3 linked regions of the Oryzias latipes genome follow. The protein of the gene in region 1 purifies or fractionates together with the protein of each later gene. This does not show direct contact. Links are inferred from orthologs where the notes say so. Each region holds a gene or a part of one and is shown in the gene's direction. Other genes may lie near its edges.

Evidence for each region.
Region 2: the proteins of pnkp (region 1) and DNA repair protein XRCC4-like purify together in Homo sapiens (co-immunoprecipitation; 5 studies listed by BioGRID and IntAct, counting the BioPlex papers as one, with this or other methods). This does not show direct contact. The link is inferred for Oryzias latipes from reciprocal best matches to the Homo sapiens genes PNKP and XRCC4.
Region 3: the proteins of pnkp (region 1) and lig3 purify together in Homo sapiens (co-immunoprecipitation; 5 studies listed by BioGRID and IntAct, with this or other methods). This does not show direct contact. The link is inferred for Oryzias latipes from reciprocal best matches to the Homo sapiens genes PNKP and LIG3.

The regions. Positions count from the first base shown.
Region 1 is NC_019871.2:32,547,066-32,549,424, forward strand, and holds the end of pnkp (bifunctional polynucleotide phosphatase/kinase), read left to right. Parts: intron 1-141; coding exon 142-238; intron 239-315; coding exon 316-377; intron 378-498; coding exon 499-608; intron 609-944; coding exon 945-1,032; intron 1,033-1,114; coding exon 1,115-1,182; intron 1,183-1,415; coding exon 1,416-1,536; 3' UTR 1,537-1,771; downstream 1,772-2,359. Other genes in the region: complement C2, read right to left, coding at 2,174-2,350. UniProt on the Homo sapiens protein: Plays a key role in the repair of DNA damage, functioning as part of both the non-homologous end-joining (NHEJ) and base excision repair (BER) pathways.
Region 2 is NC_019870.2:1,165,151-1,168,803, forward strand, and holds part of DNA repair protein XRCC4-like, read left to right. Parts: intron 1-2,476; coding exon 2,477-2,643; intron 2,644-3,653.
Region 3 is NC_019872.2:27,669,568-27,674,010, forward strand, and holds the start of lig3 (DNA ligase 3), read left to right. Parts: upstream 1-1,509; 5' UTR 1,510-1,990; intron 1,991-2,694; 5' UTR 2,695-2,720; coding exon 2,721-3,270; intron 3,271-4,443. Other genes in the region: tmem248 (transmembrane protein 248), read right to left, coding at 607-609. UniProt on the Homo sapiens protein: Isoform 3 functions as a heterodimer with DNA-repair protein XRCC1 in the nucleus and can correct defective DNA strand-break repair and sister chromatid exchange following treatment with ionizing radiation and alkylating agents.

The DNA.
Region 1 (2,359 bases):
TTTGAAGGTAATCTACTGAGAAGATGGGCTTCTTCTTCCACACGTACAATAGTTAGTGTTCATCTTGTTTGATGCAGGGTCAGCTTTTAGGGAAGTTCCTCCTGTTTGTGTTTACTAATAGCTGTTGTCTGCTCCTCATAGAGGAAGCTGGACTCCGCTGCCAGGCTGTATGACCCGCCGTCCGCCTCCCTCATCTCCAGTCTCACAGAAGTCATCGTTGCCGTCGGTTATCCCGCATGTGAGGCCCGCTCTCCGTCAGCCCTCACCCATGTCCCCTCCCAACAGCCTTTTGTTCTCACTCCCTCTTGTTTACAGCCGGTAAATCGACCTTCTTCCACGCCCACGTTATTCCAAAGGGTTACTTCTATGTCAACAGGGTAAGTGGAGTACAAAGAAAGGTTTTCACGTCTGAGAGTTTCTCCTGCAAGTATTTTAGGTCGCTCAGACATCACTGGCTGCTGCATCTCAACCATCGTCATCCTCTCATTGGTGTCTCAGGACACCCTTGGCTCCTGGCAGAAATGCGTGGCGGTGTGTGAGCGCGCTCTTAGCGAGGGACGCAGCGTTGCTGTCGACAACACCAACCCAGACCCGGAGTCGCGCAAACGGTGAAGCTCTAATCAGTTTCAGTTTGCCTGTTTGCTCCCAGCTCACCTTTCATATGAACCGGTTCCAAAACAATGACACACACACGCATGCAGAAATAATTACACAGGCAGGGTGGAGTAGTCTCCAGCTGGTTTACTTTAAGCTTTGATTTAAGCCGCTTAGTTCGTGGTTTGTGCTTCTTTCTATTGATTTAGGCTGATAGATTCTTTCTTAGTAAAATGGACTGTCTTATAGAGTGTTACTACTACTAACTACTACTTTAGCTACTTTAACATTAAGGAATCCTAATCATTTTTTAAACGGGTGAATTGACCTTAGGTCTGCATGTTGTGCAGGTATGTGGACGTAGCCAAAGCAGCTGGAGTGTCGTGTCGCTGTTTCCACTTCTCTGCTTCTCTGGAGCAAGCCAAGCACAACAACAGAGTACGACACCCCCCTCCCCACGCCTGACTTGGTTTCAGCTCTGTGACGAGCGCTTTTCACACGGATTTTCTGTCCTTTCCAGTTCCGGGAGATGGCTCCGTCTGACGGCAAACACGCCAAGGTCAATGAAATGGTTTTCCACAGTTACAAGTGAGTGAAGGCCTCTGAAATGTTAGTCAACACCCAAAAAGCCTCACTGGTGCAGAACAACTGGATGGAGACTATAGTTTGAAAAAGAAAACTAGAATTTGTCACATTTTAAAATGTCACTGTATTTTCTGCTCTTATATTGGATCAAAGAGATTCATAGGTTTTTTGTTCTTGCTGCATTTCTGCTTCATCCCAGCATTCTGACGATCTGTCTCCTCTTCTGCTCCAAACAGGAAACACTTCGTGGCTCCTGCTCTTTCCGAAGGATTCTCTGAGATTCTCCAGATCCATTTCGTTCCAAATTTCAAGGACAGACAGTCGGAGGTTCTGTTCCGACAGTTTTCTGAGGGCTGACTCCCCAAATAAAGGTCTATGTCTAAATGTTAAGTAAGCGACGGTAAATTCCAGCTAATGGCCTTTATATTGCAATGAACCTTTGTGCCGTTACTGCATGTTAACTGAACGACTATAGTTAAACTCATGACTGTACAACACAGTTGGATTGTAAACCTGCTGCCCTGACTGTTGGATTTGCTTCTTGTTTTCATCTCAGCGCTAAAATACTAATCATTAAAGCTTCCTAAGCCTGTTTCTGTGGTTTGCTGCCCTTTTTCCAGAGCTGAACGTTTACATTGGCCCCCCATCACCATCTGTCAGTAAAAGCTAAGAGGAAAATATTTGCCTTGGCCCCAGAAACAAAGCGGTTAGATGAGGTTTGAGGGCTTTGGTCAGGATTTATTCTAGCATGGCATCACTCTGCCTGCTTAAAGCTTTACCAACACTCTTTCTCTATTGATTCTATCGAAAAAGCCATTCAGTTTAGAGAGTAAAATACATTTTTATTCGTTTTTAGTTTGCTAATTAAAATGGACAAATCAGCTTTGGACCAGTAAGACGATGTTTAAATCTCTTACAGAGGAGTTTCTGCTTGGATGTTGCAGAAGCTCCGGTGTCTGTTCCATCCTGAAGCAGATTTATCTTCCCAGGCTCATCAAGGGTCAAACTCAGGCAGGAACTTGATCTCCTTGCCTGTATGTTCTTTCAACCACGGCATTATCTTGAAGAGATCGATGTGAAAGTCTCGGGCGTCTGGAGGGGGCCGGTTGCTGCCGTGGGCCCGGTTGTTACGGTCACAGATGTCCGTGGTGCCCCAGCTCACCAATCCCACCTGAAAAAA
Region 2 (3,653 bases), on another chromosome or scaffold:
GTGCGTCATGTGTGTGTCCGGTGTGTGTCAGGTGTGTGTCAGGTGGGTGTCATGTGTGTGTCATGTGGGTGTCAGGTGTGTGTCATGTGTGTGTCATGTGTGTGTCAGGTGGGTGTCAGGTGGGTGTCATGTGCGTGTCAGGTGGGTGTCAGGTGGGTGTCAGGTGGGTGTCAGGTGGGTGTCATGTGCGTGTCAGGTGTGTGTCAGGTGTGTGTCAGGTGTGTGTCAGGTGTGTGTCATGTGTGTGTGTCATGTGTGTGTCAGGGGGGTGTCAGGTGTGTGTCAGGTGTGTGTCAGGTGGGTGTCATGTGTGTGTGTCAGGGGGGTGTCAGGTGGGTGTCAGGTGTGTGTCAGGTGGGTGTCATGTGTGTGTCATGTGTGTGTCATGTGGGTGTCAGGTGTGTGTCATGTGTGTGTCATGTGTGTGTCAGGTGGGTGTCATGTGCGTGTCAGGTGGGTGTCAGGTGGGTGTCATGTGCGTGTCAGGTGCGTGTCAGGTGTGTGTCAGGTGTGTGTCAGGTGTGTGTCATGTGTGTGTGTCAGGTGTGTGTCAGGTGTGTGTCAGGGGGGTGTCAGGGGGGTGTCAGGTATGTGTCATGTGTGTGTCAGGTGGGTGTCAGGGGGGTGTCAGGTGTGTGTCATGTGTGTGTCAGGTGGGTGTCATGTGTGTGTCAGGTGGGTGACAGGTGGGTGTCATGTGTGTGTCATGTGTGTGTCATGTGTGTGTCAGGTGGGTGACAGGTGGGTGTCAGGTGGGTGACAGGTGTGTGTCAGGTGTGTGTCATGTGTGTGTCAGGTGTGTGTCAGGTGTGTGTCAGGTGTGTGTCAGGTGTGTGTCATGTGTGTGTGTCAGGTGTGTGTCAGGTGGGTGTCAGGTGGGTGACAGGTGGGTGTCATATGTGTGTCATGTGTGTGTCAGGTGTGTGTCAGGTGTGTGTCAGGTGTGTGTCAGGTATGTGTCATGTGTGTGTGTCAGGTGTGTGTCAGGTGTGTGTCATGTGTGTGTGTCAGGTGTGTGTCAGGTGGGTGTCAGGTGTGTGTCAGGGGGGTGTCAGGTGTGTGTCAGGTGGGTGTCAGGTGTGTGTCAGGTGTGTGTCAGGTGGGTGTCAGGTGGGTGTCAGGTGGCTGTCAGGTGTGTGTCATGTGTGTGTCAGGTGTGTCTCAGGTGTGTGTCAGGTGTGTGTCATGTGTGTGTCATGTGTGTGTCAGGTGTGTGTCAGGTGGGTGTCAGGTGTGTGTGTCAGGTGTGCGTCATGTGTGCGTCATGTGTGCGTCAGGTGGGTGTCAGGTGGGTGTCAGGTGGGTGTCAGGTGGCTGTCAGGTGTGTGTCATGTGTGTGTCAGGTGTGTGTCAGGTGTGTGTCAGGTGTGTGTCAGGTGTGTGTCATGTGTGTGTCAGGTGGGTGTCAGGTGTGTGTCAGGTGTGTGTCAGGTGTGTGTCATGTGTGTGTCAGGTGGGTGTCAGGTGGGTGTCAGGTGGGTGTGTCAGGTGTGCAGGGCATCATGGAAAACATGGAGGACATTGTTCCCCGAGCACCAGGGTTGGGAAGCACTGGTTTAGCGGCAGCTGTAAAACAAAAAGAGCAGAAACAAAACCAAACAGAGAACTTCTGTTCTGGGTTGAGGTGGTCCCGATCCGAGGACCCCCAACGGTTCTGACAGAACCACCGTCACAGGGTTTGAGGTCCGACTCCAAAAGGACTGAATCAGCTGGATTTCCGGTTTAACATGATTCAAAGAAATGAAGGCTTATTTGTTTAAACTCATTTTTTTTAACCGCGAAAACAGGCCGTGACATAAAAGATTTAAGCTAAACTAAAATAGAACTTTCAGGGATAGATTAGGATTTTAGGATCCACCCGTCAGGAGAGCTAAAAAGCTGAGACGCTTCTAAATCATCAAACTGAAAAAAAAGAATGTTGCAAGGAGGGGGGCCCTTGAACGGAGCCCTGGGGGACTCCAGACTAAAGGGAGAGCTGGAGCACCTCAGACTTGTAACCCCCCCCCCCCCTCTTTCTCTTTCTGTAACCCCTTTCCTTCTTCATCACACCGTTAGAGTTCTGTCTTAACCGTGAAAACCTGCTGAGATCGATCAGATTGAACCCAAAAACAGGAATCTTAAAATGCTGGAAAAAGATTCATACCAAATCCTGAGTCGGAACCATCAACTGAACCTTAAAGCAACGGAAAAACCACACATTTTGATAAATGACGGACATTGGACCACAACGATCCTGGTCTGTTTTTGTCAACTTCTCCAAGTTTAGATTTCAAGTTTCAAATAGAAGAGCTGATTTTATTTTTAGTGAGTAATGTCTTACAGAGACAGCAGCTTTCACCACATTTAACTGGAAACAGCTGAGTCTGGACTGTCAGAGATCCACCAGGAGTCTTCTGGCTGCAGACCTGAAAGCAGAAGATTAAAGGATCTGCGGTTCTGCAGGCCCACATCCACAAACTGCTTTTATTTGTTCCAGTTCAGACTAGGCTCAGCTCTCCTGGAGGCGGAGCTCCGGCCAGCGGAGGCGCTGAGGCAGCTGCTGCTCCACAGCCTGCAGCGAGGAGACAGCCTCCAGAACCAGAACCAGAAGCTGCAGGAGGACAACCAGCGGCTGAAGCAGGAGCAGCAACGCATCTGTGCAGAGTAAACAAGCACAACACACACACATGCACACACAGGCATATGCACACATGCACAGGTAGTGATAGATAAGATGAAGATGCATTATTGGTCTCAGCTTGGGAAATGGGGTTTTTGCAGCGTCAACGTTAGGCTCAAAGATACAAACACACAACCAATGGGTGACAATAAAAAACCAGAACAATCAATCAGAACAAGAACCATCAGTGAAAAACAATTGGTTTGCATGACAACTCTGGAGAAAAACAGACAGACATCAAATGGGTTTATCGACAGCCATCCCTTCATCTCCACTTTATCTTTATGTAAACACACATTCACAGGTACACACACATTCACAGGTACACACACATGCACAGGTACACACACAGGCACAGGTACACGTGCACACACACAAATGAATGCCTACACTCACACAGATAAAAACACACAGATGGATGCACTCCCACATGGGATGCACACATGCATTCATGCATAATTATGTGCTAACATGTAAAAACTCACACATGCATACATACATGTGTTGCACATGTGCGCACATACTTTCACATATGGATGATCACATGCATGTGCAAATGCATGCACACACACACATTTACAAAGCATTCATAAACACATACACACAAATACTTGCACATTGTTTGTATTGGACACATCGAAAACATACACATCTGCATGTGAACAACACATATATGAACATGGACACATGTGCATGTGCATCCATGCACACACTTACAAAACATGCATGCTCACACACACATACATGGACGCACACGTGCACTCACCTTCACACAAGGTGAATGTGCTGTGCATGATGGGGGTGAAAACATCAAAGATTCCAGAATGAATCCAGAACCGCGTCAGTCTGACCTCCGTGTGAACTTTCTGATGACATCACTGATGACATTACTGATGACATCACATACAGGAACCTCTAACCCGAGGAGAGACGTTCCACCATGGCTCCACATCAGACTTTCTCAGCTTTCACTTCCTCCATCCATGGTTCCTCT
Region 3 (4,443 bases), on another chromosome or scaffold:
TGCAAACCCAAAATAAAACCACAAACTCGCTTCAAAGGTTTTCGCTTTTAGCAGAAGTTAAACAAATAATGTACACAAACACACTGCATGATGGTTGACAGTACACATAAAAAAGCACAGTTGTGAGGTTGTGATAACATGCCGGACATGAAGGACAAGGTGACAAACACTCAAGATAAACAAAAGCAACGCGGACTCGTCCAAACAGATATTTGCAGAGAAAACCCCAAGCTTCAGGTATTTTTCCAGCCACGTTTATTTTCCACGCCTACAAGTTATTTATGATAAATACATATTGAGTTATGTTTACCTGTAAGCACGTATGGCTGGACAACAATCCCAACAAAAAAGCGACTTAAACTTAACTGTCGTTAGAACAGATTATAATTTGCGAACACAAAAACGGTTAAAGATAGAATAAATTAAAAAACAAACAGCTTTCGTTATGAAATATTGCTAAACGTAACCACCTAATATTAGCTGTCAACCTAATTTAGACGTCAAGCTAACCGCTTGACAACGACGTCTCAGAGACGTGACGTATTTCGCGTGACACTTAATTTTAATAGAAAGAGGCGGATAAATATTTAAAAAATGAAGTTTTACCATTTTTTCTCCCGTTGGAGGCAAGAAAGATGCGAGCTGGGCGGTGCGTCGCGGGCCACAACAAGCCTGCAACCTCACGAACAAGTTAGCGTCCAAGCTAGCTTGATGCTAAAATCCAAGCTAGTTGTTCTTCCTGAATACAACGCAGAAACACAAACGTCTGTGTTCGAAGGGGAAACTCAGACAGTCGACATGCGGACAGTCGCCGCGTCCCATTCTTCTCCTTTACGTTCCTTGAAGGTTAAAAGAGAAAAGTATCCACCGCTGAGTCTGGAATAGCGTCAAACAAAATATATGGGTCCTCCCTACGAGGTAAACTGCGCGTGCCCGCACTGCGTAGTGACAGCGCCGCGGTATTTACGTACGAGATGGGTCCGGAAACCCGCCGCCGCGCGCGCATCTCGTGTCATAGAACGCAATTTACGTAGCTTTCATGAGGAGGCCACTGTTTCCACGTTTATTCTGTTTTGTTTGTTGTCATGCTATTTTTTTTTAGATTTGGTATATCTAATAAATAATATAATAATTTAAATCATAATATAGTTTTTACCGACTGAAAGCTTAATTTCTTTCTTTTCTTTAACGTGAGGACACAAAAAAGTAGCCTCTTAGTAACACATCTTTTCATTGGTATTAAATCGTATGCCGTTGATACAAAACAAAATAATAAAAAAAATCCAAACCAATGCAATACAATACAATATAGAAATATTGATTTCACTTCTCTCACTCTCAACCAATCAAACTTTAACAAACTTCACATGTAATAAATTCAGAGTGCAAACATGTCTTTTTATATTTAATAGTCATTATGAAGACATAAATTTATTTCACATGTGAATTTCTTTATGGTCTTCTCGTATTTATTTTTCAATCACTTTATGACAAAATCTTGGGAAAGATCTGACATCTGTATTCAATCTTTTTTGGAGCGTTTTTTAAGTGCTGTAAATCAGCCAACAGCTAATGTAATGTCTAATGTGACAACTTCAGTATTTTCACTAACCTTTTATGGAGAAAAATTAGACTGTGAAAAACGATAGAACTGTGTAGCGACTGTGATGACGGCGTGTAGACGCACGGGGGCGGTGATGAGCGGGAACGGATGTCGAAATAAGCCCAGAAGAAGAATGTCATTGTGTGGACTGTTGCCTGCTGTCCACGCTGTTAACCCTTTTTCCTTTTGCGTAATACTCACATTTGGAAAAGTATATAAACAAACCAAACATATTTAAATGGAGTTGTCGCTTTGTCCCGCCAAACCGTAGGTTTACGAAGCACGAGCGTCTAGCCTGACGTTTGTGAAGAAGCCGCTTGTTGTTGCTAAACAATCGAGGCAGAGCCGAAACTCTTAAGAAAACAGCGCTTTAGCGCCGCTTACGAGGTAAAGTCTCAATTTGTGACATAAAATCTTTTTTTATGTTTCGTCCTTTTCTGGTAGATTTCAGTGCAGTTTTATTTTACCCGAGTGTTATTTGAAAAGTAAACAGAGCTAAAGCTAGCAGCACTTGACCGAATCGTTTGTTAGCTTTCAACCCAAAATTAATTCATTTTTTTTATTAATTATTAAGCACTATTTTCTTTTGGGATTACTAAAGAAAATTTTTAAAATATGTACCCTTGAAAAACTGAATTTGCTTATGCTTTATTTATCATTTAACCAAAAAATCAGGAAAAGTAAGAATCAAGTCATTACACTTTATTAACCTTCAATTGATTTAAAAAAACTTTCTGTAAACCGAAATGTTGGAATAATATCTTTGATGGAAATAAATAAAAGGTTTAAACGTGTTAATTTAGTAGTTTAATGAAAAACATGTTTCTTTAAATCGTCTTTTACATGATATCATCGTAATTTAATTAAGTTATTTAAGGTAATAAGTCATGATAAAGTAAAGTTTCATCTAACCAGTAAAAGGTTTTTTTTTTTTTTTGCTTATTGTTTGATAAACTCAAAAATCAAATTAACGAGTAAACGTAAAAAATTAACTTTTCAAGACATATTAGGTCAAACAAAACCGAATTGTATTTTTTGTGATTTGCTTGTGCATTTTTCTTGAATATAACCGTCGTTTTGTTGTGTTTTAGGTTGCTAACTGCACAGTCAACAATACATGCAGAGACTTCTCCTCACATCCATCCAGAAGACTGTCTGTTTCGGTGGAAAACCTTCTGGCTCCTTTGTTAGACGTCAGCAGCTCTCTACTACGTGCAGAGTCGCCTTTTCCCGTTCTGCTGACCAGCTTCCCTCCAGTTTTTCTGCAAAAAGATTTTCACAGCAAACCTGTCTGTGTCACTCCACCCCCTCCAAACCCAGCCTCCCTCGTTTCTCCGCTTCCTGGCTGTTCCTGCGACGGCGTTTCTCTACTCGACCGGAAATGGCGGATCAGAGGTTCCTCGTGGAGTACGCCAAACGGGGCACGGCGGGCTGCAAGAAGTGCAAGGACAAAATCCAGAAGGGCATCGTGAGGATCGGCAAAATCGTGCCGAACCCCTTTAGCGAGTCTGCCGGGGAGATGAAGGAGTGGTATCACGTGAAGTGCATCTTTGAGAAGCTGGAGAGGGCGAGGGCCACCACCAAGAAGATCGAAGACATCACCGATCTGGAGGGCTGGGAGGAACTGCAGGATGAAGACAAGGAGCTCATTAACAAACACGTCTCAGGTATTCAAAATGACTTTCCAATGAAGAATCTGAATCTCATCAGGACTTCTAACGCTCGCCGGGAGCAGGCGGCTGGTTTAACAAGTCTGATTTACTCGACCGACCAGTAGAAATAACCTTAAGAAACAATGACTGCATGTTTGCTGTTGGCTTTATGTGAGATGGGATGCCGGTACTTTTGGTTTCTTTTGTGGCGTAAGAAAACTTGAGTGTGGCAGAAAAAGCGAGCTGGGATACAGACGGCAGGAAGGCTCGGCGGAAATGGAAAGTTTGTACAAACAAAATAATAGTTGAATATCGTCCAGAAAAAGTAAATGTAGCTGCGTGTCAACTTAAAGTAGCAGAAAGTGCAGTTCAGATTTGAAAAAAGAGAAAACTTTTGAGAGAAAAATAGCTTATTTGTGATACGCTGGGTGATCACAAACTCTCTGCTTCGAGCTCTGAGCAATGGGAGTCCATAACATAACTCTGATGAACTCCTGCCGCTCTGCAGAAACTATGTCCTGGAAAACAACACAGGTTTTGGATTTTGGCAAAAAAAAAAAAATCCTAACTGAAAGGCCGCCTGGAAGGCTTTGAAAGCTCATCAGATGATGATCGGAGCGGGTTTCAGGATGGCTTCTGTCCTGAACTGCTAACCAACATAAGGGCTTGAGAACAGGAGGGATGTTCTTCTGGTTCTGATCCAAACCCTGGCAGCAGCATCCTGCTTATTGAGGAAGACTGTTGCTGTAGTCCAGCCGGCAGGAACCAGCCTCTGGTTTGGCTGAAACTGGGTTCTGAGTCGGTTGTTCTGACACCAAGAACTGTTTTTCCCCCCCAGAGTGAGGCTCTTCTGTTCCTTTCAGTCGTTCCGTCTCGTTTCCAAAAACAATAACTGCTGTGTGTCGGCGCTGAAGGAAACCAGAACCGTAGCTCCTCTGAGCTGCAGACGGTGTGAAGGCCCACAGCGACCGGGAGTCGGCTACCGTCTGACACGTTCTTCATGGGGTTTCTACCATTTCACTTTTCCTTAGGATAAAAAAAAGTAGAAATAGAATAAAACGAATGCAGTGATGTCTTCACAATAGTTAGCAGATAAGGTAAGGAGTGTGTTTTGGACACGGGAGGACAGACCCGTCATACAAGTCTCTCATATCTCAAACTATTAGAAGCAGGACGTCTTTGGGGAAG